3 linked regions of the Styela clava genome follow. The main gene of each other region encodes a partner of the protein of the gene in region 2 in a complex. Links are inferred from orthologs where the notes say so. Each region holds a gene or a part of one and is shown on either strand. Other genes may lie near its edges. The genes, in order: vam6/Vps39-like protein, vacuolar protein sorting-associated protein 33A-like and vacuolar protein sorting-associated protein 8 homolog.

The links.
Region 1: vacuolar protein sorting-associated protein 33A-like (region 2) and vam6/Vps39-like protein share a complex: the UniProt entries of both Drosophila melanogaster proteins name them as parts of the homotypic fusion and vacuole protein sorting (HOPS) complex. The link is inferred for Styela clava from reciprocal best matches to the Drosophila melanogaster genes car and Vps39.
Region 3: vacuolar protein sorting-associated protein 33A-like (region 2) and vacuolar protein sorting-associated protein 8 homolog share a complex: the UniProt entries of both Drosophila melanogaster proteins name them as parts of the class C core vacuole/endosome tethering (CORVET) complex. The link is inferred for Styela clava from reciprocal best matches to the Drosophila melanogaster genes car and Vps8.

What each region holds. Positions count from the first base shown.
Region 1 is NC_135253.1:11,145,168-11,156,217, forward strand, and holds the start of vam6/Vps39-like protein, read right to left. Parts: upstream 4,190-11,050; 5' UTR 3,951-4,189; coding exon 3,878-3,950; intron 2,863-3,877; coding exon 2,726-2,862; intron 2,325-2,725; coding exon 2,100-2,324; intron 1,747-2,099; coding exon 1,636-1,746; intron 1,380-1,635; coding exon 1,247-1,379; intron 1,148-1,246; coding exon 1,007-1,147; intron 1-1,006. Other genes in the region: rRNA N(6)-adenosine-methyltransferase ZCCHC4-like, read right to left, coding at 6,359-6,603, 6,690-6,741, 6,832-6,907, 7,083-7,204, 7,296-7,444, 7,607-7,778, 7,847-8,041, 8,328-8,465 and 3 more. UniProt on the Drosophila melanogaster protein: Part of the homotypic fusion and vacuole protein sorting (HOPS) tethering complex involved in endo-lysosomal vesicle trafficking and lysosome biogenesis.
Region 2 is NC_135257.1:17,175,418-17,186,050, reverse strand, and holds the start of vacuolar protein sorting-associated protein 33A-like, read right to left. Parts: upstream 3,990-10,633; 5' UTR 3,888-3,989; coding exon 3,786-3,887; intron 3,222-3,785; coding exon 2,943-3,221; intron 2,838-2,942; coding exon 2,616-2,837; intron 2,101-2,615; coding exon 1,920-2,100; intron 1,265-1,919; coding exon 1,080-1,264; intron 491-1,079; coding exon 364-490; intron 1-363. UniProt on the Drosophila melanogaster protein: Core component of the class C core vacuole/endosome tethering (CORVET) and the homotypic fusion and vacuole protein sorting (HOPS) tethering complexes involved in endo-lysosomal vesicle trafficking and lysosome biogenesis.
Region 3 is NC_135255.1:12,620,211-12,631,006, forward strand, and holds the start of vacuolar protein sorting-associated protein 8 homolog, read right to left. Parts: upstream 4,543-10,796; 5' UTR 4,452-4,542; coding exon 4,401-4,451; intron 3,796-4,400; coding exon 3,657-3,795; intron 3,234-3,656; coding exon 3,116-3,233; intron 2,630-3,115; coding exon 2,506-2,629; intron 2,141-2,505; coding exon 2,086-2,140; intron 1,993-2,085; coding exon 1,781-1,992; intron 1,326-1,780; coding exon 1,258-1,325; intron 1,175-1,257; coding exon 1,124-1,174; intron 586-1,123; coding exon 483-585; intron 58-482; coding exon 1-57. Other genes in the region: U4/U6.U5 tri-snRNP-associated protein 1-like, read right to left, coding at 6,422-8,767; 40S small subunit processome assembly factor 1-like, read right to left, coding at 9,893-10,597. UniProt on the Drosophila melanogaster protein: Part of the class C core vacuole/endosome tethering (CORVET) complex involved in endo-lysosomal vesicle trafficking and lysosome biogenesis by facilitating docking and fusion of endosomal vesicles.

The sequences.
Region 1 (11,050 bases), on a different chromosome or scaffold from region 2:
TGAACTGGTCAAAAAAATTGGAGAACTCCAAAATTTGGGTCTCGAAAACTGTTGAGTGTTAAGAGTAAAAATTGCACTATTCAAAAATTGCAATCTCAATTTTGATGGATTCAGTTTTAGTAGGACATATAAAGCCTGTAGATGCTATTTTAATCCTATTCACTAGTCTTATGTTTTTTTGTGTAAATTTCAGCAAAATAATAACAACCATCAATATAGATAAAACTGTTGCTCAAGTTCAAAATTGCATTTAAAAATTCCAAGCTAGTTTGATGACAATATTATTTGAGGACTATAATATTGTTAGTGTACAACAGCCATCAAAATGCAAGAGTGCAATTATTTGTCTTGGTATATAAATGGATAATACAGTAATGCCATCATGAGAAATTTCAAATTCCATTTAAAGAAGGTATTGCCATCATAAGGATCCCAAAACACCTGTTTCAGCTTTGAGTTGCCTGTACCATGTTCCTATGATAACTAACTCAACAGCTTCAAATCGATTCTATTTATACAACTATCGTTTTCTAAATTGTCTCCTTTTTCTCCTTGTTCTCTCTCAAAAACGTCACGATCGACTATACCTTGTTATGATGACCACGCATGAAATGGCTAATCACGTGCCACCGGGCGGGCATTAGTAATGACATGTTTATCACAAAATGAAGGCGAGAGAAATATCGGGAAACCAATTAAGCAAGTCGGGAGCGAGAGTGGTCTGAGCTCGGAGCGCCGCCGCTTGCCCGATGAAAAACATCCCGTAAAGGTGGTTTCCGCTTTATGTACCGGTACCTAATTTTAGCGATTCGAAAATTAGCCGAAAAACGATTCGAATAATTTGCGATTCGATTCGATTTCGAATATTCGGTTCGCTTGGACAGCCCTAATTACAGTATATAACAAAAATCTGAAAATTAAACATTGGTAATTATAAAACTTATTACACTTACATGGTATAGAATATAATCAAGTTAAATAATATGGGTAAATTATATTACTTTACCTATATCTATGGGTGCATCTGACCACTTGAATACTTGTTTTTCACCAGTACCGTCTTTATCGATAAATATACTCATATCATCTTTCATTAAAATTAATCTGTTTTCATCTAATTTTGTCATCACTGGTTCCATGAGCTTCCCTGAAAGTCAACACCATTAGTAGTACTGCAAAATTTGCATTCGCAGTATTACAACGAGTTAGAGTAACAATCCACCCACTCTTAATACATTGATCTCACCTGTAGGAAATAATTCATATGGAACAGAATTTGCTTTCACTGTAACCATGAAATATTCTCTTCTGAAACCAAGACAAACTGAATCACGACACCAAGCCATACATTTTGGTATCTCAGGCATGCTGATATCTGGCTGTAAAAATGGAATAAATAGTTACCGGTAGATATCACTAGTGTATATATATATATATTCTCTACAAATAACTATAAAGAATTTAAATATTGTTATTTAGAAAGCTAAAGAAGACCACATGGTCCAAACAAAAATACCTTACCATTTAAATACCACAACCTTGATGAAATTATTGGAAGCCTACCACTAGTTCAGAGATATAAATTTCCCGTGTTTTTAGGCGTATTAAACAAATATTTGTGAAAGCCATACTCACACATAGCTCATGAAAACTCCGATTTTTCCAAAAATAAAGTAGTAGTTTTCTTTTGACCGCAATGCATAATCTTAAAGTGTGAGCAGTTTCACCTTGTGAGGATGTTCGTGACTGTATATAAAAATTGACTGATAAATTTTAAGTTTGTATTTCAAGATCATGTTGTTTCTATGTTTGCACATTGTTACAGAGCTAACAGCTAATCAGTATTCAGTGGATAATGGTCAAAACTTGTTAAAGGATGCAATTAAATTACCGTAACTGAATTCTGATTGTAGATATTATGGCTTTATAATTAAAGTAATAATTTACAAAAATATGAATAAATCCATCATTAGCCACATATCAACATCATTTGGAAATATTCAAATTAAATAACCATCATAATTTGTTATGTTAAAATGATTTGATGAGTTATCTTTATTTATCTTATTTACTTCACAGAAGTTAATAATCAAAAATACCTCAAGATCAGCAGAAAAACAAGCTGCTCCTTTAGATTTTTGTAAGGTAGTTATCAACTGGAATGTTGTCAAATCATGAACAGAAACCATGGAATCTGACAAACTTAATATTAATTTAAGTTCAACACAGACAAATAATTGTTGAATTGGTTTCTTTGAAAATGTTCTATTTGATCGTTCCAACTTTACTTCAGCTCTGTTATGTACATTTGGATTATGTTCAACCTGTAACAAAAAATTTAAAAATACTAGGTAGGCTTATCAGATTTAGATAGTTAATTGAGGAGTGTATATCAGAGAATGGGCTTTCCCAATTATCAAACAGCCAATATTGCAAAAGTAGCTTATAAGCAAAGCTCTACTTTGCAAACCGAACTGGCCATTTCCCTATTGCATTAAATTCAGGAAAAAATAAAAGAATCATCACTCAAAACAGAACTGGGCAAGGCGGGTTAACGATATTCACTACTAAAGATAACAGAAATGAAATTGTACATTTCTCATCTAATCTAAAAACAACAAATTCAAACATCACTTAATTTGAGAGAGAAACCACAAAATAATAATTTTTCAGCAGAATAATGTCAAAATCCCATATGTTTGCTAGATGAATATATTATTCTCACACTATAAACAAGCAAATGTCCTGGCTTTGTTCCAACCAACAAAGTTGCTTTAGGGAGATCTGGTGCTGAGTTATCATTTTCTGACACATCTCCATCATTTATAGAAAATCTGTTCTGTTTGAATAGCTTCTCTTCTCCTACATAAGACAAATAGCAGAACTCATTAAATCAGTGAGCTGATGCAATTTATGTCACTCGTGGAAGCCAAATCTAATTTTACTATCCTGATTACACTATGAAATAATATTTTTGATTATTGAATATATTCTAAATATGAAATACGGCCATACGTAACAGAGACATTTGAATAAATTTTGTATGTTCATAGCATTGAGTTTGATAAATGCAGAATATTTGGCATATATATTGTTTTGACATCTTTCTATTTATACCGATAGTCAATGTTCCCTCTAATTTTTGTAGTATGTGTGCGCCGAAATTTTGGTGTGTGCGCACTTTTCTGGAAATGACTAATATTTGTGCAAAAACCAATGAAGAAATTTTGGCGTTCTAACCGGGTAATAGGTGGGCTTATTAAGAAAATTCTGGTTATTCAATAAGTTTTTCTGTAGATTGGAAATGCTTTAGTGAAGGCTATATGTTATCAGTAGATAACAATGAACATACATGGAAAATAATAAATGAAATTGATTGTAACAGATGGTTTTATTTGAATTCAAATAAAGGGTGAAAAAAGAACAAAAGAACATTGTTACATTACATCGAAATACGTCTGTGCGCAGTAAATCTATGCGTGTGCACAGCCTCTGAAAGCTGTGTGCGCGCGCATACGCGCACACCTTAGAGGGAACACTGCCGATAGTGTCAAGAGTTAAATAAGCTTGTTTTCAGCTGGCCCAGTGACCAGATGTCAAATGCTGAAAATAGTCAATGCATTTCGAACAACTTACTGATTAGATATCTACATATCCAACCAGACCTGATGAAGCCATCCTTCATCATTAAACAGTCTTAAATGTTATTTCAGTATTTTGCAATAATTTCTGAATTTGTTGATCAGTTACATGTACCATTCACACCTTATAATTATGATTGATAATTTATATTGGGCTTCGCTAGATACAAAAAAAAAATCAACACACCATCACACAGAAATCCCGGGATGTTACCAAAAATAATATTTCAACTCACCCCAACAAGCGATACATTCAATAGCCAATGGTAGACTCTTCAGGACCGGTAAATAAATGTATGCATCATGCATTTTGTTCCGACGGTAATTCTCTAGGAGGCGGTCTTTGTCCACGGAAATATTGACAAAAGTTAGCAAGTAAAAGTCCGCCTGTCACAGTGCTAGATTACACTACCTACTGACCTATCTCTCAAAGTGACTCACTTTGCTATCTTCGACTTCTATACAGCTATACACCGGCCACCGCTGCAGGCATTCATTAATACCCAGCAAATAATCGAGCCGCTGGCGGCGTCAGCGGCAGTGTTTCTTTGCAGGTTGAATATAATCATGGTTAACTGACCATGATATAATGGACCTTTCCCCGACCTTTGACCCCCGAAAAATTCTTCACATATTTTACCATTGCAAAATTTTCGGGGCTATTTTAGGAGTGCTTTTGCAAGTTGGCGCCTGTAAAATGGGGTATGTGTTTCAAAACATCATTATGATTCATCGCATACAACAATCTGTTTTTTAAAAGTACCGGTAAAGAATTTCAGGCTAGTCTATGTATGTATGTATGTATGTATGTTTATTCCTCTCGTAAAAGCAATATAAAAGAGTAAGTAATTATAAATACTGAAGACGGGATGTATGCACAAGACCATATTGGCCTGAAACACAAATGTGCGGCATACACCCCTTTTGATATATATAAATTATAATAGGGTAAATCAAATATGTACAATATGGTCCTTTATACAGGCAGTTGTGCAAGGAGGGTGGGTGGATGCGCTAACAGGGATAAGGGTGGAGTGTACAAAACTGTTTGTACAAAGGAGTTTGTTAGACAAAACAACTTCTATAAATAGAGACACTACACAACATGAAACACTGCATATGACTATAGTAATAAAAAAAAATTAAGAATTTGGATGAATGTACAACACCATTGAGTGATGATACCACATACTATAAAACGCGGGAATGGTCAAGTTTAAAGGGTGTGTACATATATGGTATGCACCACTCAAGGGCGACAGTGTTATAAGTGGTCTATGGCTGTTCTGGCCAAAATGTGGAGTGGAAGTGGTGACTCCTCTTCGGCCCATGGGCCGGGGCCACGGCCCATCAAATTGGGCCTCGGCCCATCAGGCTATGGGCCGCGGCCCATCAAGTTGTGTAAAGAAACTATTCACTTGGCTAAGACAAACAGTCCCCAAACTCATAATAGAACTATAATGTAAAAAATCTGAACAAAATTTTGCCCTAACCCTAACCTGGTACACATACTACAGGAGTTCATTTTTTGGTTCGAATATTGACAATTTTGTAAAAATTGAAAATTTCGGTAAGATAATTGAATTTTTTCCTGATGGGGCCGCGGCCCATAGCTTGATGGGCCACGGCCCATGTGGCCCAATTAGATGGGCCGTGGCCGCGGCCCATGGGTCGTAGAGAAGTCACCACCCCTGTAGAAAATGTGACCCTACAGGTTTTGGTGAAATATGATAAAGATATGTATCAAATGACTCACTATTGTAAGTTTTTTTTTTGGAATTCTGGATTCAGCCAAAAACGATGAAGTTTCAAAAAATAAAAAAAATTAATAAAAAGCATTTCCACAAAACCTATTATGGTTGCATTTCAGCCAGAAGATTAGAAAGGTATAAAGGTACAGTGGGATAGGTAATGATAAGGTACAAAGAGAAGCCATTTTACCATGTCATGGATTTTCCAATGTAAATTAAAATAATAAAATTATATGGTATCCTGGGATGAGCAGAAGAAAAAGTGTGATTATGTCGTTGATCTTGTATTCAAACGTAAGGCGCACTGGACTGCAAGACGCATCGGTATTACAAAAATGTACGGATTACCGTACAAAGCTCAACAACCAACAGCGTCGCAATCCACACACGGCAATCAAAATTGCAAGACCCTCGATTGTCTATGTCTTTTGAAGCTTATCATACCTCAAGTCATCGTTAATGCTTATTGGCAAGCGTTCCGCAAGTCTAGGGATCAAGTAATAAACAAAATAATTTAAGTTTAATAATAAATAATCGCCAATTGTGGTAGATTCGAAATAATGTGGTGTAAAAATATATCACACAAAGATTTTCATTCTTCGACTGACAAAACCCTCAATAACGATTGTGTTTTCTTTTCTCGCTTGCGATCAAAATGACGAGAAGTGTGTATAATTATATTAATAGCGCAATATCCATGAACGATAGGGTTAGCACCCGTTTCTTTTTGGTCAAGAATTATTTTCGCACACCTTCAACTTACAGTATATTGAGACCTACCTCATTATTTTCCCATATTCCCAATAAAAGGACAAATCGATTTTTCAAAATGGAAGATCTCATAGAAAAATGATGCTATTCTACAAAGATTTCAATGTAACGTGAAGGATTTCATAATTAACAATTTAGAATATTCGAATTCTTATAATATCCACAGTCGCAATATAGTAGTTTACAGTCTTGACATCAAGAAAACGTATATTTCCTTTTCCTCAAATGTGAGGATTTTCTGTGAAAAACGGCATGGTTTGCTTTGGTTTTTATAGTCTTGGCTGGTAATATATCATTGTTTTTTTGGCTATTCTTTAAAGGACAGTCTCTGCGTTTGTGAGTCAACTTCCCACATAGATGACAACCTAGCAGATATCCAGTTTTCCTGCATTCATGGCCATCCAGTTCACAACGTTCACAATTTTTGCAGTGTTTCCGACCTAAAAATACAAGTTAACAAATAAGAAAGGGCAGAAATTCATGCAATGAGTTCCCTCCCTAGTATAATGATGATAATGATACTTGCCTGGTTTTACACAGAAATTACATTCATTGCAGTGAACATAAGTTCTCCCATCCTAAAAATATAAAACAAGATCATTAATACTATCAAGTATAGTATGCAGACATGCAGTATATTATGATCAGTTGAATAGAAAAGGCAATACCTTTGATGGGCAGTTATTGCATATTTTGCAATGTTTATTTGATTCAGCAACATATCGATCACATCGAGAACAGAACCTAAAATAAATGATCAATTCTGTAAAGCTTGCTGCAAATAAGGTCACAAAAGTAAAATGTAAAGCGATAATTCCATCCAGATGCTAATTTACAAAACTAGACAATTGTTCTAAGTGCATGATAAGATCACTAAGGAACATCATAATAGGTTGGTATCACAAAAAATGTTTTTAACCTGTATCCTTCATCAACTGGAAACACTATGTCATTCGTTTTAATGTTGGTAAAAATTCTTACAGGTGATATTCTAGTGCTTGTGATTTTCTTCTTAAACTTATTGTGATTATTGTAGTTCACCTGCAAAGATTTTTTTGTAATTTAATAGACTTAAGTATGTACTGAAGTTTCCGTTTATCTAACTAACAAAGCGTAGCATAGCTGACCATACCTGGTAATCAAGCATATGTAGTGATGGCAATGCTCCAGTTATTCTTTTTTCCATGAAATATGGAAATATCCACAATATTGGCAGCAAATTTTCAGTTTTAGAGGACTTTGAATTTTCAGGAAAACTACATGAACTTATCCACTTCAAAGCTGAAACACAACACAATAATAAATTCAAATCCACAAAAGGTCTTCAGAATTTTGCAAGTTCAATAAGTAACCTAAAGAAGTAATCTAGTAACCTACCACAAACAATTTGTGAGAAAACATTTATCTACACTGCTTAAATACATAAAAATATTTGCAACCTACTATTTGCAATGGCATCAACCAGTCCACCAAAGGGAGGATCCAATACCAAACATATCCTTGAATGTGATTCTGATTTCTCTACAAAATTACGCAGTTTATCAAAACTTTCATCAATGAAATAGTGATTGAACATATTAAAGTGACAAAACTTATCCTGGTCGGAGAATTGTTCCTGAAAATGTTAACTTATATTTAAAAGATGTTTGAAAAATGTAGTTATGAAATGCAATAAAAACTTACATATCTTTTGTCAATGTCTAACAAAATACTGTCAATTATTGTTGTTACATCTTCAGAGTTTTTATGATAAAAATACTTTCTGTATTGAATTTCCTCATGAAGTGAAGGCATTCCAATACATACGATATGTGTGAATTTCAGTTGTAACAAAATATCTAAAATGAAGTTCAAGCTTCGGTCATTCAGGAAATATTGCTGTTAAAAAAATTTGGATTTACTGTAAGCACTCAACTTACCAGTCAGTGAAGCAATAAAATGTTGTTGTATTGTAATTTTATATGATAAAAACCAGGAAATGGAAAATGTTTTGTGTCAGAGTTACTATAACCATGTTTTTGGACAAAGTCCTGTCAAAGATGTATTCATAGCGTTTTAAGGAAGTCTCCATTGTTTCAAAAATATGGAAAACAAATTTCATTATTAAGTATTATTTGATTTAAACCTCATTTACAACCCTATTCAGAGAAATAAAATGTCATACCGCATTCTTCTTATCTTCTTGTAATGGTGGCAGTATTTCTCTTGAAGGATGGAATAAATTGAAAAGGGATAAGCTTTTAATGATATCATGTTGAAAACATTTGTCTGTAGGTTTTTGCCTACATTCCTCCAATCTCACCTACAGAGAAAAAGTTTTAGCGTTATACAACTAAGAAGTGGGATTATGTTCAACTTCATTTCAAAACTGCAGAAATAACAATACATAGATAATGAATGATAGCTATACATATATATTTGCAGTGATCTCAACTTTTCCCAAACATGGCACTTCAAAGGAATGACAGCTATGTTGCAAGCGAATAGTTTTCCAATTTGTTTCTAGACAAAGATGAGAAATTGTCTATCTTCATACGGATGTAAAGTAGGCTATATATCAATATGAACATCATGGGACTTACGATTTGGCAGTTACGACAAAATGATCTCTCAGAGGGTGACAATGATGCCAAACCCTTGAAAGTGCATTCATATAGAAGAGAACTATCATCTTGATGCTGTCCAATATGTATCTGAGAATAGATGCAAGGATAAAAGCTCTAAAAATAGGAATTCATTGTTTTGGTAGACAAATTCATCTGATGCTTTCATAAATCTTGACAATTTTCAATATTCATCATTATTATCTAGTCCATACCACAGATAATGGCTATGATCATATTATAAACAATAGGAGGACACGATACTGTTGCATGCGACATTTAATAAGTCAAACTCTTAGCATGTTCGCTACTTCAGTTTTCCAATTATGTAATGCCCATATGTAGACTTGAAGCAGATAAAAATTTTCAGAAATAATAGCTAGGCCTATAGAAAAACAATAAAAAGATTTCTGGGACCAACGAACTCTCTTACCATACATCAGTTCATAATATATGTTTTCTATTGGTTGTAGTTGATAAGACAAATGCAAAGCTTAATCATCCTGAACCAATAATTTTGTGATTTTAATAAAGATGACTTTGAGATTAACCAGGTATCAAAGTAAATGGCAATACAGAATGTGATTAACGAAAAACTCAAAACTGCACGGTACCTCATTTCCACACTTATTTTTTCTGTTATAATCATCTTCATACAGGAATGCATCACACTCTTTGCGACTTCTGCATGCGGAACATGCGTAATACCGTCTCCCTTGACATTTTCCATGAATGAATTTTTCAAACAACAACATTGGTCCTGAAAATATTTAACATATTTTACGATATCATGCACCTGCAAATTTTCATCTCAGTACCGTATCCCTATAAAATCTAAAGTTCAGGATGGCTCTGTGCTTAACACACTTCAAAACGTGTTTAACGCTAGGAATAAGCTTGTTACAAGTAACATTAGGATAGGATTTACATATTTATACCGGGGGAGATGAAAGACGATAATACGGCTTAATCATGACGAACCACGGCCTCTCGTTCATTATAGCACAATGGCCTAATAATGCCAGAATACAGTATCGGTAGTCGCAAATACAAAATATAGTTCTTACTGTCTTACCATGACGACATCTCGGCGCACTGGCATACCAGTCTTTTATGAAAAACACCTCAATTCCTGTTCCCGCTGAAAAATTATTCATTCCACAGCCAAGCAAAATCACACTCCTGTCTTGGGACAACACTAAAAGGCTGAAGGAAGAAACGGATGAAGTGGAGGGAAAACGGAAGTTGGAGTGTTCCCAAAGGTGAAAAATTAAAAAACACTAAAAGGCTGAACACTAAAAGGAAGAAGTGGATGAAATTTCTTCCGACGGGTGGTGAGGTGGCTGAAGTCACTAAAAACATGAACACTAAAAGGAAGAGGTGGATGAAATTGTTTCCGACAAATAATGAGGTGGTTGAAGTCACTAAAAAGCTGAACACTAAAAGGAAGAAGTGGATGGAATTTCTTCCGACAAATAATGAGGTGGTTGAAGCCACTAAAAAGATGAACACTAAAAGAAAGAAGTGGATGAAATTTCTTCCGGCGAATAATGAGGTGGTTGAAGTCACTAAAAAGCTGAACACTAAAAGGAAGAAGGAGATGAAATTTCTTCCGACGGCTGGTGAGGTGGATGAAGTTACTAAAAATATGAACACTGAAAGGAAGAAGTGGATAAAATTTCTTCCGACAAATAATGTGGTGGTTGAAGTCACTAAAAGGAAAAAGCGGATGAAATTTCTTTCAACGAATAATGAGGTGGTTGAAGTCACTAAAAAGCTAAACATTAAAAGGAAGAAGTGGATGAAATTTCTTCCGACGGATAGTGAGGAATACTTGAAAATTTAATATATTAGGAATTGGTTAATTTAATGTTTGTTCTGTTCGTAATTATGAGACAATGTCCTCGTGGATTCGATTTCTGTTAATTTTTTATATGTTATGCTCAGTTGTTATGCTTATTTGTGTGGTCAACTTCACGATTATTATTAATTTTTGATTCCTATTTTCGTATTTACAAAATACAACGGTGATCCATGGACTTAAAATGTGTGGTAAATTGCCTGATTATAATTAATTCTTGATTCATATTTTCGTATTTATAAAATAATAAAATATATATATGCGGACATTGAAGTGCCCGAATATAATTAATTTCACATTCGTATATACGTACTCACGAAAAAATTGTCGCAAGTCAGAAATATAATTTATACTTTATCCCGCTTTTTGGCAAATAATTTGGATAATGGTTGGTATTCAAAAGTATGGACTTTTACTAGGATG
Region 2 (10,633 bases):
ATGGACATGGTCAATTATCCCACTCACCGGTATTACTAATTTATCGAGAAAAAGAAAAATTGAACAATTATACTATTCAACAACAGGCTTGACAATGAACCCTACATGGGTTTCAAGTTTGAATCCTGTCGCGTAATTATATACGAAAGAATTGCTGAACTCATCTATGTTGGAAGGTGGTTCGAGAAACAGCTGGTCAGTTCAGTAAATCAGTAGATGTCCTCCACTCTCAAGTATATGCATCTGAACTGAATAACTATTCCCATATCTGACAGAGACAATAGACCGTGGTTCACCATATGATTATGCCATCATACCATCTTTTCTTATAAATAGAACATGAAAATTGTTTGAAAGTCTCACCAGTATGTTCCTTGATTAATTCTGCTATTGATGTGTGGCTCGCTAAATTTGCTTTTGCCTGTTGCATTTGTGGCAAATGGGAAACAAACTTCTTAATTTCACCAACTGTTTTTGCTGCGTGCCTCTCCTATAAAATACAATGATATTTTATGAAGATTTTACAAAGCTCCGAATTAACCTCTCACTAATGTTTCTTCGCATGTACATGAAATAAAGAACAGTGTGGTTATTTTGGATTGGTGACAAACGAGTATCAAAAATCTTGGTGTCAAGGTGATGCCGTTCCTGTGGTCGCCTCACTTGCCAGTGCTCTGAATTGATAATTGGGCACTCCAGAAGTGTGTGTAGCCATATGAAGGTGACTAATTTTGTTTGTCTATTTTACATCAAGTTGTGTAAAGGGACTGAAATAGAACTAAAATGAGAAAAATCAGAATAAAAAATTTTTGTTTGTAAAGAATCAGGTTGCCTCTCGAGTAGTTTAAAAAATAACTTTATTCAATATTCAAACTTTTTACTTTGGTATGAATTAATGTTAGGCTTGGATCACGGGTATCGCTGTTCGAGAAAACATTGTTTTTCACGCCTCCCTTCACCTTAATTGCCATTTTTACTTTATTTTATATTCTGCTTGTACAAACTGTATTTTCAGTAGGGTGAAAATATAGACTAATGATTACTATGTTAGGAGTTTCCACACATAAATAAAACAGTACCTCAAACTGCTCAGTAATCTGCTTTGCTGTCACTTTCAAAGTGGGGCCCACGGCATTGAAGTTTCTGTCTCGTAGTATTGCAAATAATTCATCTTTGGATGAGAGTATGATCTTCTTCGGTTCAGTAGTGCCTCCATCATTTTGACCTTCTTTGGAAAACTTTTCAGGTGGAAATTTTGCAGTTGCTGAAGGCATAATAAAAGATAAGGATTACAAGTAAATAGGATGCACTTGACTTCTATACAGAAAACAAAACTTCGGGTTGTAGAAAATTTCAACTCCATCTCCAGGAAAATCAAATTTTGATGACACAACTTTGGCGTATGCAAGCCTTCATTAATAGACTGCTAAGAATGATTACTAAAACGGTACTCCCGTAGTATGTGTACTAGGTTAGGGTTAGGCCATAATTTTATTTCGATTTTCCTTATTTTAGTTATTTACAGGGATAGTTTAGGGAGTTCAGGTACTTTCTGTGTTAGCCAAGTGCATATACCCCCATGGGCTTCAGTCCCTCCCTACACAATTTGATGCCAAGTAGGCGAACAAAACTAGTCACCTCCATATTGGTACACATACTTCTGGAGCACCAGTAAAATAGATGCCCATTGAGTTTTAGTGAAAAGTTTTGACTTTATTTATCACCATTGAGAAAGGCTACAACTCCAATTAAAGACTCCAGGGCATTCACAATTTCCACTGTGGGGAGTTAGAAAAATACGTCTCCAGCTCCAACTCTGAATCCAGTGCAAAAATAATGAACTTTGACCCCAGGGCCCTAGTAGAACATGATCAAATTTAAAATATTAATCATCCTATACTTGCTGATCAAAAATTTACCATTTTTAATTTCATAAACTTCATCTATCAATCCTTCGTATGTCAGTTGGGTAACAAGCGGCGACAACAAATCAACAGAACGATCTAGAATCAATAATCTATCAATTTGTGGAGGAACCTCTCCTTCATCTTCACTACTTTTTGATTCAAGTCGGATTCTTTTCATAATTTCACAAACCATCTATGAATAAAAAATAAATTTACATTTAGTACTCGCTTGGTCAGGGAGGTGATATCCAAAGGTTATAATAATAAATATTTTATTTCATGTTTCGATGAAAAATTTAGCGTCATAGATTTATACAATGTCTGCATCAATAAAAAACTTGCTGTTGCATCTCTTCGACAAGTCTTATATAATCCTGCGTTGTGTCTTATTGGACGATTGAATTAAGGGTGGCCTTATTACGAAATTTTTTTTATCATTAAAAATGTTAGCATGTTCTTTAAAATAAATCATGAATTGGCGAAAATGACATGGTGTGTCACAATGGGTCAGTGGTTCACTATCCCTGTCTGAAAATAGATGACTAAGCCTATAAAAAATAAAGCAATATTTTGGAATTGCGATTGATATATTTCAATATTTTAATGGGATTTTATGTTCAAATGCCATCACGCCAAAATTAAATACTTATATGGTAAATTCTAATAATGTAACCATATACCAAATGTAAGATTATACACATAGAATACCTGGGCATATCTGCCTTTGCAATGAATATTTGGAATAATTCCAAACTGTTTCTGTAAGCTGTTCAATGCTCTAGCAACCAAATAAAGTGACGAGTAATCTTCATTGATTGTGCAGTCAAATAATGAAGAATAATGTTCCATAGACAGAAGATCGTACTCCAGAGGAATAAGATCAAGTCTGTATTCTTCTATATTTTTCAGCATGCTTGAAACTCCAAGTTCCTGGTAAAAATAAAAGCAATTTTATTTCATATTTAACCCATTGGGGGAAGGAAAGTCGACAAGGCAGTAATCATACGGCCACTCGTTTGATCGAAGAAATAATACCTCCAGCTTTTGAAGGCAAAGATAACTTTTCCACGGTACAAAGAAAACGTGAAACTCTTTTCCAAAGCCTGTTCCATCTTCCTCTCTCTGTATATTCTGAGCAATAAAGTCCATTTGATCTAATTTTGGCCTTGTTATAAATATAATATGCTGTACAGTAGATTTTGCAAGTTTTCCTCCAGCAAGTGGAAACATTCTCTCAACCTCATGTTCTTTCAGCAGCGGAAACTCAGCAATGAGACCAAATCGATCTGTGAGAGCATAGTCCCAAACCAATGCCTAGAAAGGTAATATTTTAATGAGATCATGGCTAAAGAGGATACATATAAAGCTGGTAATAAAACAATAGCCATCGCTTATTTTGATAATATAATGCGAATAGATTTTTATTCGAATGTAATATAAATAAATGTGTGCGGTTCAAGCATGTGTTGTCATAGTCTGTTCGAATCCCATGCCCGCAAACCTCATCAAGAGTGTGATGAATTGGGTAGGCAATGCTTAACAAGACAGATAGCGTTCCCTATGAAAAAATAGTAGTTCTTTACTGTAGTTAGATATCAATGGTTGCTAGGGCAGGGATTTGGTCGTCATGAATAGACATCATAAAACATGCGTGGTATGAAAAAATGAATGTTGCATGAATACATTCACCTCAAATTTTCGTATATATCATCTTGTGATACCAAAGGCTAATCCAATGGGCAGTCCGACTGGGTTAGTATGGTGTGATGAGCATGAAAAGTTAAACCTTCAATGGAGGCTAGATGGCACCCTGTTTAACATACGAGTTAATAATGTAATTTTTTCAACTTCCAAAATAAAATCCTATAGTAGATCTACCTTCGGTCCAGCACACTTGTCAAGTAAACGTAACAATTCTCGTCTTGCTTCTTCCCTGACCATTGCCAGGTTTACCACACCAGTAGAGAGATGAGATGCCATGGCACTGCTTGTGCCTTTTTCAAGGAAAAATCACAATGGCTTCAAATCAAATACCTAGTTACAATACAGCAATAAGCTTCATATTTCTTTAATGAATTATTTTGTAGATTATGAAAGCGTAAAAACAGTAAATACAAAATATAGGTTATGTATAAATTATGCTATCCTACAGCTGTCGGGCTGTACAGTCTTATGAGCAAGTCAATTATTGAAAAAACTAGCCACAATATGACAATACATACCAATCACTCAATAGTCTCTAATTTAGATATTTTTTGTTTGTTTTCATATGCAATGTCAATATATTAAAATCAGTTATTTGCAATAATACAACGCATTATTTATCCGCTGCATGTTCCATTTTATGCATTTAAGACAAACAAATTGTAGTTTTCAAAGGTTGGTGTAGCATGCTAAGGGTTAATGGGTTAGGAATATGCTTGACATTCTGACATTGCACCTCCTGACCTCTGATTACTGGATTATCATTCGCTGGTTTGAATGCGGTGGAGGACAATTAGGCTATATGCCAGAAGATTGCTGGATTCCCCTACTACGGTAACTGACCAATCAATCATTCTCCATCTTATGATCTAAGGGTGGGTTCACATAACTCAGTAACTCCTGGTCGGTATATTCATCTGTACGGTATATCTTCCTCTATCGTTAAGTCCATGCATCTCAAACAAATAACTGGGGTCTCGTGAAGCAAACGCCGTAACTGCTTAAGTCTGTAACTACCCCTAAACCAGTAAACAGAAATGTGGTGTGAAAATGAAGGGTCTAGTAACGTAAACGCCGTAATTGCTTAAATAGCGCCTAACAAAATTGCGATGAGAAATAAACGCCGTAACTGCTCAAATAAGACCCAACAAAAATGGGGTCTCATGTAGTTTCGTACCTAACATACTTCTAGTGGACGTAGCATAACAATTTTTATCTGTCAATCCTAACCCCCATCTGACTACGCCACCTAAAAATTACGTCAGTACGACCTCACAGTGACGTAATAGAGCCCTTCAAACTATACGAACTGTCATTCGAGACGGGCACCCGAAATCGAAGAGCTATTTCTCTCGTTTTCTCGTCGCAACGATCCCGATATGAGAGAGATGGATGACAGTTACCGGTAGTTCTTATTTCAAAGATTTCGCAAAATCCAAACGTTGTCGCATATTAAATTATAAGTCAAGTCGTGAGTGTGACTGAAGTGGAACACACTTGACCGTCTATGAAACCAGAATAATGCAATCTACAGGGTTGAGTTCTAAAGAACTCTGAAAAAAAATAGAGCAAAGTAAGTGCAAGTTATAAAATATCGCTTTTATTTCTTGAATATTAGGTGGGGTATATTCAATATAGCCTACATTCGTACTTCATAAAACTAAATGGGCATGCAATTATGAGTCTCTTTGTATTTGACAATTTAAATTGCCGTTTAACATTTTTTAGTTATATATATATGTATATATATTAGGTACAGTGATTGCTAACTCAATATATAATACGAGAATATCGGTCGGAGACCGAAGACTTATCGATCTTAGATTGGTAATTAGTTAATAACTCGCTAAATATACGACATAATCAACCCAAAATCAATAGGCTTCTGGTCCGAGATATGATGTATGCACATGCAAAATTTGGAGCAGATTCAACCTCGCATTCGCGAGATATCGCGTTCATCTAACAGACACACACACAGACAGACATACATACAGACAAATACCTATCAATATACTTACCGATCTTAAGATCGATAAGTAATAAGAAAACTAATGGAGACCGTGCCGATAGAAGTTTGATATTTTCAAATCTGCTATCTAGACACGTTCAATTGTCTTTATGGACGGGATGAGTAGATAGAATTCATCATTCAAATTTACTGGACTAGATCATCTGGGAGTTCCACAATTGTACGGTCGTGCCCCAAATTCATCTCTAATGTTGATTAGCATGCTGCCAAGACAAGTATAACTCATATATATTTAAAAAAAAATTCAAGAAATTTATTTGAGTGAACATGTAAAGCAAAAAAATGAATATATCTGATCTGTTTATTAGTCTATTTCGCAAGAAAAAGTATCTATTCGGCAACGATAAGCCTAACTGATATATATATATATATATATATATATATACTTTTTTTTTCTAGGATAAATCTTGAATTGTAGAGTTTTGCGAATTATGGTTGTAACTTCTAAGTTTGAATCACTTTCTAAGTATAAGCAGCGTTTTGAAAGAGATGATACAAAAGTTTGAATCACTTTCTAAGTATAAGCAGCGTTTCGAAAGAGATGATACAAAAACAATGCAAACTTTAAACTCATGACTGATGTACTTACGTAAATTACAATTTACTCCTGTCCAGCCTTCATCGCAGATGCATAGGGGAAGGTGGGGCACGTTGGGACATGGGGCACAGTGGAAAATCAGCTCTCACACTAATACTATATCCGCAATCCTGTTCGCGGTTCGATGTTTCAATCCTCCCTTCGGTGAGTTACAACGTCCCCGCGAACGGACAACGGACGGGTAGAGCGGCGCAAGCTATGAGGTAAAATTGGTTTGGGGAGGTTGGAACTAAAATTTCACCGTTCCATTTTTTTCTTTTTTCGACTTTAGCCTTTCCAACATGACAAACCACCGTCTGATATTTTTCAGCTTCAGTACACTTTAAAATATTCATAACGTTGGCAAGTGGATGTGCCTTCCGAATTTCGCCGTGGGATGGTCTGAAAATATTTGTTTCCTATGGAGAACAATGGACCGGGGTTCAGTGGGACATGCCCTACAGGGCACAATTCGAGAGTGTTTGATACAATAAGTGCTTAGAGACCAAGAGATGCTTTATTTTTTGTGTAATACCTTCATTATTGTGATACATTCATTGTATGCCTCAGGCAGAGATGGACAAGGTTTTAGGACTAGGGACCAAAAAGTTTGTCCACTTAGACTCGGGGGGTCATGTAAGTGTGACGTAAAAAGTTACAATATGAACAATATTTACAGTGTTACAAAAGTGGAAATGAATAAGCCTCGTGCCAAAACTAAATTTAATCGCAATCTTAACAAATTCCGTGAGCTATTTTTTTTTTAGCTTAAATATCAAAACTCAGCTTTAGTTTGGTTGTGGCAGCATCAGGCGAGACGGATTGAATTACCCAACGAGCTGGATTTGGCCAGCGGGCCGTGGTTCGCCATGTCAGGTGTAAGGTCTAAAGGTCAAACACATGCAAAAGATCTATTTCATAATGCAAAAATCTAATTTTTTTAAAACACACCGAATCATTTGTAGCATAATAACATAATTCATGTAATTGCGGCTATGATTCAATGGTCTAAAAGTATTGATCTAGATACAATAAATCGTCAATAAAAGTGTAACAATTTTGTTGACCATCTCCATGTATATTTAGTAAAAAAAGCGTCATTATTAGCGTAGATACCCATGCCTAATGGTTTATTTGGTTTGCAAAAGCTGCTGAATGGCGACAACGCTTTGTGATATGTCGCGAAAGATCTGAAGTAATCTTTTTACCTTGTTCATGAATATCTATTTCTAGCATGTTAGTTAGATAATTCGGTAGAACCATACGGTATTCGTCGACAATACTTAATTATGTATACATTTTTTTTTGAATCTGATATTTGTACTGTAGCAAGTAGGTACTTAAGAATAGTGACTGTGTATTTTAATATTCTTTATTGAATGCCAAATGTTCGTATATTCTAATGATGCCCAATCCAATAGCTCGATACCCAGCTTTGGTTCCCCGCGGCTTCCATTCCCCAGTAAATTGTGTGATTATATTTTTCTCTCGAATATTGTATTGGATTGATTTTTTTCTGGTAGGAAAAATAAAATTGAATTGACTTGTTTATTTAATTCTTGACTTCTTCCAATAAAAATGGAAACAAAATATTTTCATTTTTTCGATTTTTTATTTACTACCGGACTCCACCCTGTCCGAACTAAACGATTACTTTACTACCCAACTCCACCCGCTAGCCCTGTGCAAACTACCTGTTTCAACCCCCTCTGCTCCCTATGCTGACTAGTGGCAAATCATTCGGACAATTTTTCTGTGTTTTGGGAATCTGCGTAAACACAATTTCACGATATACGCTAGAACAAGCGTCCGGTTAAAATCTGTACGCATCAGTTTTGACATCACTTCAATACTGAAAAACGCAATTTATTTAGTTCCAAGGCTCCCAGAGGGTTCGCGGACCCGAGTTTCAGAACCCTGCACTTACACAGCTTATTTTGTAGATATGGGTACAAAAATAATTTGGCACTTCTACTATGAACAAGGATGTGGGCTTGCAAACATTGAAACGTGTTAACAAGTACAGTGAATCATTTATGAAGTGTGCTCGCACCTTCATCGAAGCTGAAGAAAAGTGAATAATGAAAGTATTCAACGTGGCAGTGAGAATTAATGATGAATGCACATATAATTTCCAGATTGCGAACGGTCCAGGAGAATCAGTCCACGAATAGTGTCTACCTACAGCAAGATAATAAAAACCAAGAGCAGTCAATTGTGAGGAATGTTGAAAAGATTTCTTGATTTAAATCAAATATTGTTTCTTGTTCAACTTTGTCGAGGCATTTTACATTGGTGATCATTAGGTTCACCTTATTGCTCTTATTTCGCTAGTAATTTTTGTTTGACAATGTTTTTCATCGCATTTACTCGTATATTCTTCCTCTTGACTAAATCCGCGCAGAAGGTGTTTTAAAAAATACCGAAAAGTCCGTTTATTAGTAATTATTTTGCATTTGATCAGAACTCAGAAGTGATATAAATTGACCAGACATGATGTTCTATAATAATTTAAGGTCATAATAATGCTTTGCGCGAATATATTCACCTTATTGCTCTTATTTCGCTAGTAATTTTTGTTTGACAATGTTTTTCATCGCATTTACTCGTATCTTCTTCCTCTTGACTAAATCCGCGCAGAAGGTGTTTTAAAAAATACCGAAAAGTCCGTTTATTAGTAATTATTTTGCATTTGATCAGAACTCAGAAGTGATATAAATTGACCAGACATGATGTTCTATACTAATTTAAGGTCATAATAATGCTTTGCGCGAATATATTCACCTTATTGCTCTCATTTCGCTAGTAATTTTTGTTTGACAATGTTTTTCATCGCATTTACTCGTATCTTCTTCCTCTTGACTAAATCCGCGCAGAAGGTGTTTTAAAAAATACCGAAAAGTCCGTTTATTAGTAATTATTTTGCATTTGATCAGAACTCAGAAGTGATATAAATTGACCAGACATGATGTTCTATAATAATTTAAGGTCATAATAATGCTTTGCGCGAATATATTCACCTTATTGCTCTTATTTCGCTAGTAATTTTTGTTTGACAATGTTTTTCATCGCATTTACTCGTATCTTCTTCCTCTTGACTAAATCCGCGCAGAAGGTGTTTTAAAAAATACCGAAAAGTCCGTTTATTAGTAATTATTTTGCATTTGATCAGTACTCAGAAGTGATATAAATTGACCAGACATGATGTTCTATAATAATTTAAGGTCATAATAATGCTTTGCGCGAATATATTTATAACGTCATAGTAATAGACTGTAACCTGCACCCAAGGCATGCGCAATAGTCACTTGGAGTTTATAACTTAATGCTACGTGCTGCTTTATACTGTTCTTTATTCAATCCGATGTTTTCAACAATACGAGCTGTGTTCCTGGAAGTCTCGAGTATTGTATTCATTTGTTTATAGCAACGTCTTTAAGTGTCCTGACAATAACCCAACAAGACACGTGATTACTGGATGAGTAGATATTTAGCCCAAATGTAATCATGGGAACTATACAGATCTTTTGGGTCTATCGTCATCATTTGTAGCATTGCTGCTCAGCCACTCGAGTTTATTTGTTCGAATAATTTTCCCGGGTAATGAATCATTGTAATACTCCTTTTCCGGGCAATATACACGCGAGTTCCTTTTCCAAGAAACCAGAACAAGAATTCTGATATAGCCGGATAGTGTTCAGTGATTGTTTTGGAAGCATAAGAAGTATCCATCTTCAACGAGACATGGCGTTATTTCTAAAATTCATCCGAATGACGATGACTGTCTCGATCATTATTTCGAATGTTTATATCGAAGGTAAGATGTGTGTAAACTTGATTGTTTATTTGTTTTCGATCTATCTTGTAGATATATATCATGTTTAAAAATTTAGATTTTCTTGATTCTTTCTAGATGTAAGTGAGGATAGACAAATAGCAAACTATTTCGGGCTTTTTATTTATTTTTTGAATACATTTATTTGAATAAATATTCTTGAAGAAATAGAAACTAACAATTATGAGCATTTCCCTAGAGTAGCGAATTTCTTATTTACAACAAGGGTTGGGAGCAATGTTCCCTCTAATTTTTTGTAGTATGTGTGCGCAGAAATTTTGGTGTGTGCGCAATTTTTTGGAAATGACTAATATTTGTGCAAAAACCGATGAAGAAATTTTGGCGTTCTAACCGGGTAATAAGTGGGCCAACAACAAACTTTCTCAACCTGCCAACCGAGCACATTGTTACATTACATCGAAATACGTCTGTGCGCAGTAAATCTATGCATGTGTGCAGCCTCGGAAAGCTGTGTGCGCGCGCACACGCGCACACCTTAGAGGGAACACTGGTTAGGGGTTTGTAGGAATTCATGTATAGGACGGCTGTGGGAGATACACGTACATTATTTTCCCATT
Region 3 (10,796 bases), on a different chromosome or scaffold from region 2:
ATTCAGTTGATGGCTGAAAAGAACTTTGATTTGTGGCCTCAATGACACAACAAGAACCTGTTAAAAAACATAGCATTGAATGACAAATTGACTCCTTTATTTTCATCTATTATTTCATCAGTATATATTTTGGATGTGATGACAGGTGAATGGAAAAACAAATTGCTCATCCAATCATGAATGATCGTGGAGGACATGGTCGTGGAAACAAGATGTTATCCCAGGAATACATTGAAAAGGGACGAATCTCAATTTTTCGGATACATCAAAATGGCAGATATCACAATCATAATTAAACAGAAAATTGTTGCCCGCTTAAATTTGATTAGTACCTTTAACTCCAAATAATAATTTCCTTGTTATAATGCGTTGATTTCAATTATTATCCTTTAGAAAAAATATCCAGCCTTGAATACAATAAACAACCATTCATTCTATGGCACAAGATACAGCATAGCAAAAAATTAAGAGTGATTTCTCACCTTTGTCAAAGTTCCCATTGCCAACAAATGTCTGTCTCTCAATGGATGATCAGCAATTGTTTTCAGAATATGGAGAGGTTCGATGGTGCATACTTCACCTCGACTGTCGATAAAAACAAACATACTAAATATCAAATTACAGCCATTGGTTTATTTTGCTGCTAACTTGAATAACTTAAAACATAATACATAAAATTGCACTGAATGTTAAAGGCGTTTAGAATAATGCTTTTTTCTGTAATAGACAATTCACAAATTCTATATTACTACTTCTTTTTGCATGATTTGGGGGCCTATTAGGGCCAGCTAACTACTAACCCATAGGTGGGTAACAGGGAGACCCCACTTATTATTTCGGTAATTCACCTAGTCACCAATTAATGCAAACTATGTTTTGGACATGAATTTCTCAAAATCGAATACCAGCAATTCCCACAGTTCTGATATAAGTGCTGTATGTGTTAAGCTCAACACCACACACAACAGCAATCAAAGAATTAAAAGACTAGCGGAAAAGATACAACAGTAAGTTTGTTATTAATGCAAACTTCGATTGTATATCTAAGACCCGTATTCTTTTTTATAATAATAAAAACATGCGTGGCCCATCCCTGGTATAAATCAAGAAAAAAATGCCTCACCTGCCAGAAAACAAACACCTTGACTCACAAGACCTCACACCCATAACCCTCCTGAAAACAATATAAAATAATTAAAAAACAAAACATACCTAATTTTAAACTTATAACCATTATTGATGAAACTCCACACAAACCTGAAATTCAATTCAAACACTGATCCACCACTGTCATTACAAACTGCTAATGTAGGATCATCAGTAAACTGAAAGAGAAAAACCCACATTAGATAGTATACAAAGCAAGCTTAAGGAACAGTTGTTCGCTAGCGAAATGAAGCAATAGGTATAAAAATAATAGTGAGCATAGCTATATATTTTTCAGAATGAATGACAAATACACATTAGAATATTTGTGTAAACACACATTGAAATCTAAGCCAGGGGTAGGGAGCTCATTCAGCTTTGGATTAGAAGTCCTTCAAAGTACCTAATCCTCAACTTTGAACACCAGAAATGGCTAAAACTATATAAAAAAAACATCCCAAATATAAATTATTTTCGAACAGAAAACAAAAATGAAGATATGTGACAATTTAGAGAAGTTTTCATTCGTAATAACTTGAAATATTAACAATAAAAGTCAAAACTTAAGCTTTTTTTTCATTTTGTTAGTCTACATATGTAGTAGTTGATTTCATTTCAACAATCCTTGACTAACCTTAACATGTAAAACAGAAGATCCTGGAGGATGAGCATCTGTTATTGTTCGGAGTAATTTCCCTGATTTCACGTCATACATGAGTATCTGTCCTCTTGCATATCCGACTAGTAGTCTGTCGCTATCCATATTGAATGCCAATGCAGTCACAGAACCATACTTGCTACCAACACTGACGCTACCCAACACATGAACTAACTTCTGATCATTATCTGTGAGGAATATGAGACATAGTGGAGTTACGAATAGAATTTATGATAATCTATGAAGCTCTAGTCATACTGTAGATATGAATTTTAACTTACCAAATACTAAAGCAATTCCATGAGCAGTTCCAATGGCTATCAACTGAGAAACTGCCTGTAAAAAATATATTCAATCTTACAGTACTTTTACATATAAGAACCTATTAAACATTCGAAAATGGCATATCTATATACAAAAATTGAATGTAACATTTTAAGATTTCTTCCATATTAATCTTTCCAATATATAAATATTTTAAATCTGTGAAGTGACTCTTCATTGAAAAGGGGAATTAAACTGTAAGAAACAGAATCCAAACAAAAACTTGTGACACAACTTCAGCAACCCGCAGTCCAAATAACGGAATTTCCCGTTAGGCTGCCTTTTCATCTAGCTAAAAATTTTACCTTATATTTAGATGTGAATTACAGAATTTAAGTAACTAAGACTGACTCCTTTCTTATAACAACATAACATACCAATGATGTTGGCTTTCCAGCATTGATTCTATCAGCAGATGACATGATATGATTTGACAGAGCTTGCATTCGGTAAAATGCAAGAACAGGTCCATGGAATTGTGGAGCATCTTTTTTCTTTACACTGAAACAATAAAAAACAAGCTTAATTTAGAACGAGGGGCCAGTCATGTCAGATGTATTTGCCAACCAAACAACAACCAAAAATACAGCACATGAATCCAACTTTTACTAAAAAGAATGGAGCTTGATCTTGTGAGTTGTGTCACTTCATACAATATAACATATATAATTTTGGAAATATTCCGGAATTTAGCATAGTCAAATGTTTAGATTTTCACAAAATTCAAAATAGAAAAGTGAACTATTGACGAATAATACTTGCACTAGACCCAGTAGACTGACTTCTACAGATAGCGATTTATTCCTATAACCATGAGAACCCATTACAATAGAAATATGCCTATAATGATGACAACCTATTGAAGATCTCATTCGGTTATTTTTCTTCAAAGACACGATATTAGGAAAAATTCATATTTGGTTCAATTCTAGATCACCTTCTGAGCTGATTTTATAATCATTTATTTTAATATCGTTGGTTTCATACCTTGAAGCCTGACTGTCTCCACTTTTGATTGATGTTGTTTCTAATGATTTCAGAACACTCAGGGATGCCATCTCACTTTTCTTAAGATAACCATTTGATATGTTTTTCTCTGGAGTTCCTGACAAAATGTGAATAGTGAAAACAAGGTGCTATTGCACATAAGCTCATGTCAAAGAGAGAGAAGGCATGTATGTAACTAAGGAAAAGTTGAGTAAAATAGAATCAATAAAAATAGAGCGTACATTGGTGCTCATCTGACAAACATAGAAAAAAAAGTAAAGCATATTTTTCGCCCACAGCTTTTTGGATAATAATATGAAGAAACTAAAAAAAATGGGTATTAATAAAAATAGAACTAGACTTATTCGCAAAGTCTGCTTATTATGTGGGAAATACGGTATTCTTTTATAAAGATGATACATCAAATAGTGTAGTGAGATTCTTTATCAGTGTCACCTCACAATTTTCATATCACCTGCTACAAGCGATAAAGTAACAAATCGCAAAAAACATATTCAAGCAATTATATAAATGTTGTTACCTGTAGATGTGGGCGAAAAACCATTGGTGATATTATCCAACAACGACACATTATCTTCAGTCTCACTTTCAGCCTCTTTCAAAATACTTTCTAAGGAAGGTTCTTCAACATCAGGAATGTCAAACTCTGTTGGATCAAGCTGCAAAAGAAATTGATTTGTAAACATTAACCCATTTTATACTCCATACATACTTATGATATATCCATAGCCAGATCTGTGACATTTAATCGAAGCTGACCTTTCTATAATTGATGGAGCTACCAGAAATTTTAGTGGCTTCAGCTCCCAACCATCGAATTATTTTTTCCCATGGCTATGAAGCCCAGCTCTGTAGTTAAAAAATGAAGCTCAGAGTCAGAGCCATTGTGATTTTTAACCAGTCTTTCAGTCCTGGCTTATATTTCAATGCTTGTTAATATAAATATGTAGCCTATCTAATTATGCATACATATTGAAGTGTATTTAAAATTATTGTGTTGGGTCCATACACAAATGAGTACCATACGAGAATAACCCATTGTAATTTGAGGTCTGGAAAAAGAAGTTGATAACTACTGCAAAATATCAAAGTGTAAAAAATGGAATATATTTTACTCAACATAGCAGCTTGACCATATTAATCAAAATGACAATTCATATAACCCTATTGAAAATCATGTAACTATTACTAGCAAATAACTGTAAAAGTAAACACTATATACAGAGAATATCTGTTAAATATAAAAGGACTTCATCAAACTCACCTCTTCTAAATCTTCCAGAATATTCCCATTACTAGTTTCAAGCTTGTCCATCGTGCTACAATCAGATCATTTCAGCTATGGAGCAACATTTTATTTTAACTATCAAATAATAAATAATAAAAAAAGATCGAGCGTAATAAAGGTACAAACGTAGGATCTAAAAAAAGGACAACTAGATTGCGAAAACTTATATCACAAAGTAAAATACATGTATAATGCATGTTATCATACCAAGATGTTATGGCAAAGTCAATTGTAATACACCACATCACACTCAATTTTCCTTGTTTTCCTGAAGCTATTCATAATAAATCTAAGATCAGAACCAGATAAGTTACTGCTTCAGATATCAATGAAAATAGGCAGTAATTTTACAAGCAAAAACCGCCGCAGTAAAACCAAAGTACTAATGGACTTTTAGGATTTTCTTTTCACTGTGGATCAGGGTCATCTTTTGGTCTAGGATTCAAATATGTACTTAAAACAAACCAGCTTATGTACAGTTTTTAAGCAAAAGTAATTGATCAAGAACTAATTTCTGTTACAGGCTGATAGACATACGACAATCATGTACGGTATATATAGCCACAGTAAAAACAAGATAGCCTAAGTCAAATTTTTTTAGAGATGGGCTTTTTTGATTTTTTATAACAAGCACCTGTTGTTTTTTGGATTCAATAGCTCGGCATTTGATGAGTGGAATATTGTGATACTATCCGACTTTCGAGGGTAGAAATAATGCCAATATGTCCTAATTCCAGTGTTGTTTTGAACCCTAAAAGATTTTAAAACTTTGTCCAAAATGGGGGGTAGAATATATACATATAGTGGTGTGTTTTAGGCGTCCCCAAACACACAGTCTTAGGTGCCATATGTAATATGATGTTTTGTAAAGAATATCAGATTCCTATTTTACCACATTAATTACAGAACTGAGAATAACAAAATTGTGATTTTCTCAAAATGTGACATAAACTAACTTGGTTTTACTGCGTCATGGTGTAATAAGTAGAGCTGGGAATAGTGACCCGTTAACTACTATTAGATGGTTAATGGTTACAAGTAATTTTAAACATCAACAGACATCCAAAGGAAGTAAAATTAATTCGCATGTATCAGTATTAAAATTCCAAATAATTAATGTATATGAGTGACCAAGCAGATCGTCTAGTTAATAGATGGACATTTCTGATCCATATACAATTTTCAACATTCCAAACTAATATTTATGGCAAACAGTTTTATAATCATAACATAATATAATAAGTGATATTTCACCCAATTTTCAAAGGTAAAAGTGTTTTCATAATAACTCCCAGCCCTGGTAATGAGTCTTCTTATGTGCTATCAAACTAGATTGAGATACCTGTACAGTTAGTACTTCTGGTATTACTTTCCTATGAAATTTGAAAAATTTACAACAAATATCTATACAACATTTCTAAAATAACTTATCAGTGTCTATTCACCATCACCAAATAATAATCTTTATAACCCATACAAAATTCAATCTTGTTGATTGAGGCGAGAAATTTAGAACAGAATAGCAGGTTTAAAAATAATTAAAATATTATCATATTATGTCCGATAACAACCACTGACAAAAGAATATCCTAATGCAAAACACCCAACATAAGCAGCGGATCACATGGTAATTTTCATTTTTAACATATAAATCAAGTCAAGTCAGGGCAGTTTCTAGCAGGGAGTACATTTCTAATGTTATCAAAACAAGAGTTGTTGTGGGCATGTTAACAATAATTTAGGCATTTAAAATGATATGGCCCAAAATAACATCAAAAGATTTTCATAATATGATCTGCCAATCAACTGCTACAAAGAAGGCATAAGATAATCAGAATGACAAAGTTTATGGTACCCCTGCAAGTGTTTTGTAATAGGTATTGGAAGCTGCAATGATTTACGGCTCAACAGAATGTCCCGACAACAACACAAAAATATTGATTTGCATCGATGAAAATTGATTTCATTTTTCATATGTCTCACAATTATAATACTAATCATTTCTTCAGCCCTCCACCACCAGCTTGCAATGTTTTACCAGCTCCACTTAGAACAATATAAGGACTTGCTTCGCTTTGTAATTTTTCTTTCATCATTGCTACTGTGTTAAGTGGTGTATCAGTCGAACTCATTTTCAACATCATATCTTCTTCTCCTTTCTTTTTTTGTCGTTTTTCGAGTTTCATTTTACCCGATCCTTTGCCGTGAAACCTGTGAGATAATTTTCTGAAAGCTTCTTTTGGATTCATTAATCGACCTCCTTCATCAACATACTCGATAGTTACTTTAGGTTTATAATTTTTCTTTTCTTCAAAATCCATTACAATTCCACGATCGTAGCGATTACTACGGTCTTTCGAGTATTTTTCGTGAGCGTATTTATCCAAATGATCAACTGCGTTTTTGTCTTCAATGGAATAGTTTGCAGAAAGCAGGTCAATATTTTTACTAGTTATTGTGACTGAGCTTTTTGGTTTTTCTTCCATCAGGTAACCCTTTCTCGTGGCTAGTTTTAGTGCACCGGCTAAGCCGCCTACAGCAAGAGGCTCGGCTTCAATAGGTGCATGTCTATCATCGACAGGTTCTGCCTGTGTAACTGGCTTAACTTTGGCTTTATCGTTCACAAAATTCCATCCTGACGTAACTTCTTCTTCTTCTTCATCTTCCACGTCCATATCAACGCTGTCGTCCATGGAAGTCTCTTCCATAGGCACTTCTTTAATAACATTCAAATCTGAGGCGGTTCCGAGCTGACGACAAAATTCATCAGTTGAATTTAAAGATATAGTTGTAGAATAATTGGCCATTGGATTTTCAAATGAAACTTTATTTAAAAGGTCTAAATGTTCGACGACTTTACTGGCACCGACATCCTCAGTAACCATGTTTGATTTAACCTGTTTTGCCCGTCTTGCTTTGTCCAATGCTTTTTGAAGTTCATTACTGGCATCATCCTCGTCAAAAATGACATTTTTCTTCGAATTCATTAAAGTTGTAGATGTTATACTTGTGTCATCCACTTTTGCAGATTCAATACCTTCATCCCATCCAGGTATATTTCCTCGTTGATTTCGACTTCTAGAACCAAAATCAGATGATGTTGAACTACCCGGTAGAGGTTGTAGATCGTCTGGTTTTAGATCACGTTTTCTTACTTTTCGCACTTTCTTTTTTCGTTTTTTGAACTTTGTCATTTCCTCTTCAGTCAAATATTCAGATGCAATTTTGAGTTGAGGGAGTGCTAAGCTGACTCCTTTAGCTTTAATTTCATTTTTCATCATCATTTTTTGTTGTTCCCAAGTCGTATCAACTTTTCCATAATTACCGATAGTAAATTTCTCTTGCTTGATTCCTTCAATTTCTTCATCATATTTCGAAAGCATAGACTTTTGTTTAAAAAATCCCATTTCATCAACCTCTTCCTCATCATAAGCTTTGTATCCAGAACCTTTGGACTTCACGTCCAAATTTCGTTTTGCTTTTTCAGTATCAACCAAGTTTACACCAACAAGAACATCATCCTTATCTTCTTCAAGTATATTTTTATCTTCGAGAGTCAAAATTTCTGATCTTCCTTCTTTGAACATTTCTAAGGAGTGTTTTACAGTAATGCCTTGCAAATCACGAGATGTGTATGAGTCTTTCTTTACATCGGCAAATTCATTGTCTATTAAACCACCAATACCAAATTCTGCATCCATTTTAGCCATTTCTTGTTCTCGTTTTTCAGCCACCTTTTTTTGTTTTTCCATTTTTCTACTTCTTTCTACCCAAGATACCGCATCATTTTCATCTTCATTTTCTTCTCCCAAAGTCTTGATTTTCCCCATTTTTTTGTTTAAGTTTCTTTTTTCTTTAATGGCTCGTAGTTTTTCTCTAATATCATCCTGTTTTTTCTTTTCCCACAAATCTTCAGCAGGAGCATGAACAAATTCTTCTTTCTTTGATTCGGTTGCATTACCGGAAGATCCACCGACGTCGAGAGGTTTGAGTCCCAGTTTTAACCTCAACTTATTTGTTTCTTCAATACTGAGTGAGTCACCTTCGCCATTAGCTGATGTTGGAGTGGGTTCAGCATGATGTTGTCTTGACTTACCATTACGTTCAGATTCCAACTTTTGGGGGGATTCAGAATCTCGATCTCGTTCACTTTGTTTCTTGTGTTTTTTCTTATGTTTTTTTTGTTTAGAATATGATTTTTCTGTTTCTACATCGTCATGACGTCTTCTTTTTTTTTCTTCTGGACTATGACTTTCATCTCTCTCTTCATCATCATATGCAGGACTTGAACGCTTGTGCTTTCGATGTTTATGGTCTTTCTTATGCTTTTTAGATGATCCCATCGTATTTATTATAATTAAGAATTAACCTGTAAATATTAAAGTAACAGTTCGTTTATTCAATTAAGGCTAGGCCACATATGGATAGTAAATCAAAAATGTAATACATACATCAATGACGTACCAAATTCAACAGTATTACAATGCATTTTTTTTTAATATGCCCAACAAAGTTTTTAACATTCGCATGAAATTGTTATATTCGGCAACAGGTCTCAAATCGATGATATCATTTTGTTGGGCGAAGTTTCCATCAAAATGAATGAATATTCAATTTCAATATTATTGATATACTTTAAAATTGTGAAATAACCATTCACAAAACTTGCCGTCTCGTTCCATGCATTAATTTATTTCCTTTTTTTATACTTGAAAATCTGAGAATTTATTGACATTACAACAAATAGATGCTAGTTCAACTCATTTGGTCCAAAGTTAAACATGATAATATACAGTGTTTTTGTATGAAACCAATACAAATGAAAATCATTGGAATAACATTAATCGTTCCACGTTGATTCATTTTTGTATACTACACTTGTAAAAGAGTATAATTATATGTTAGTTCACTGATCAACTACACATTCCTCAAACTTGCAAAAGTATCAATAGAAATGCAGTATGGTACAGTTCTCCAATTTCAAGAATAACCCCAACATTAGAAGACATCAATTATACCAGTGAATGCAAACCGCTCCTTTATGAGACAGTCTGGGCCTCCATATCGCCAAACTGGCACTGTGCAAATAAACTGAAGGATACACAATCTGAAAATGTCACCATTGACCATTGGATTCCCAAAAATAATACAATTTACCAAAAAAAAAAAATTTTACTGTAGGATTCAAGAGTTTTTAGCAAAAAAATGTTGACAGAAATATTTTGGTCACATGATGGCAGACACACGTAAAATTATTATCGAGACAAGCATGGCGCAAATTACCGCCGTACCAGACACCCTCGTTACAGAGACAAATAGAGTGTTAGTTTTATTGAACCAAATATAGACAGATCTTGGCATCAGGAGACTGTGCTCTATTGGAAATGACTTTCATGATCTATATCTGAGAATTGGTTTAAAATGTAATGCATCAAGTCAATGGGAAATATCAAAATAAGCAGAATTTATTATCGGCGCCTGTTTACAGATTTAATATCTTTTGATGAAAGTTTTAAAACTCCATCCTTATATTTTCCAATTTGCGGATTCAAACTTTTATCGCCTTGTTTCCAGAATTTCGGCATGCCACTCGTCTTTTCTTTATATTCGGTTCTATTGTTCGACAATATATTATTGCCAGAACTTGTATCTTGTTTCAATCTTTTTTGTTCTTCCATGAGAATTTTATAATTAACATATTTCCGTTTTGTCGGTTTTGCTCCAAGTTTTATTGCTCTTTTTCTTTCATGTTCTCTCTGTTCTTCTTTCGAAAATGCCTTCATTCCAAACGAGCCAACGCTGAATTTTAATTTTTCTAAAACTTCCGAAGAATTTAGTCTTTCATTTGTATATTTAGACTTTGGAATATTGAACTGTGAGTCTGTACCAACAATAGTTGGTGATGCTTTTTTTATTTCCGGTTCTTCATTTTTAGTTTTTTTACTTTTAAATATGACAATTTCAACTTCCTTTTTTAATTTATTATCATTTTCCTCTTTCGTCATCACCGTGGATGGAATTATGGGGGTATTGGGTTGTGTTTCTTTAGGCTGTGTTTCACCTAAAAATTCTGAAGCATATTTATCCAAAATACTTAAAATTTTATCATTATCTGCTTCCTTCATGGACACTTTGTCCTTTATTTCCATCTTATGGCGCCTACGTTTAGTCATTTTCGCGATTCAAGCCTGAAAAATAAGAGAAACAGTACCGTAAATGATATGAAATTAGATGATACATTTTTGTTATAAATTGATTTCAAAATTTGTCTGTATGTCACTTGTGCACATAAATTTGTGTGTTTCCATGCCACTGGAGCCCTTTAAAAATCGAAATTTACACCACTGCGACATACAGGTACCCTACTGCCCT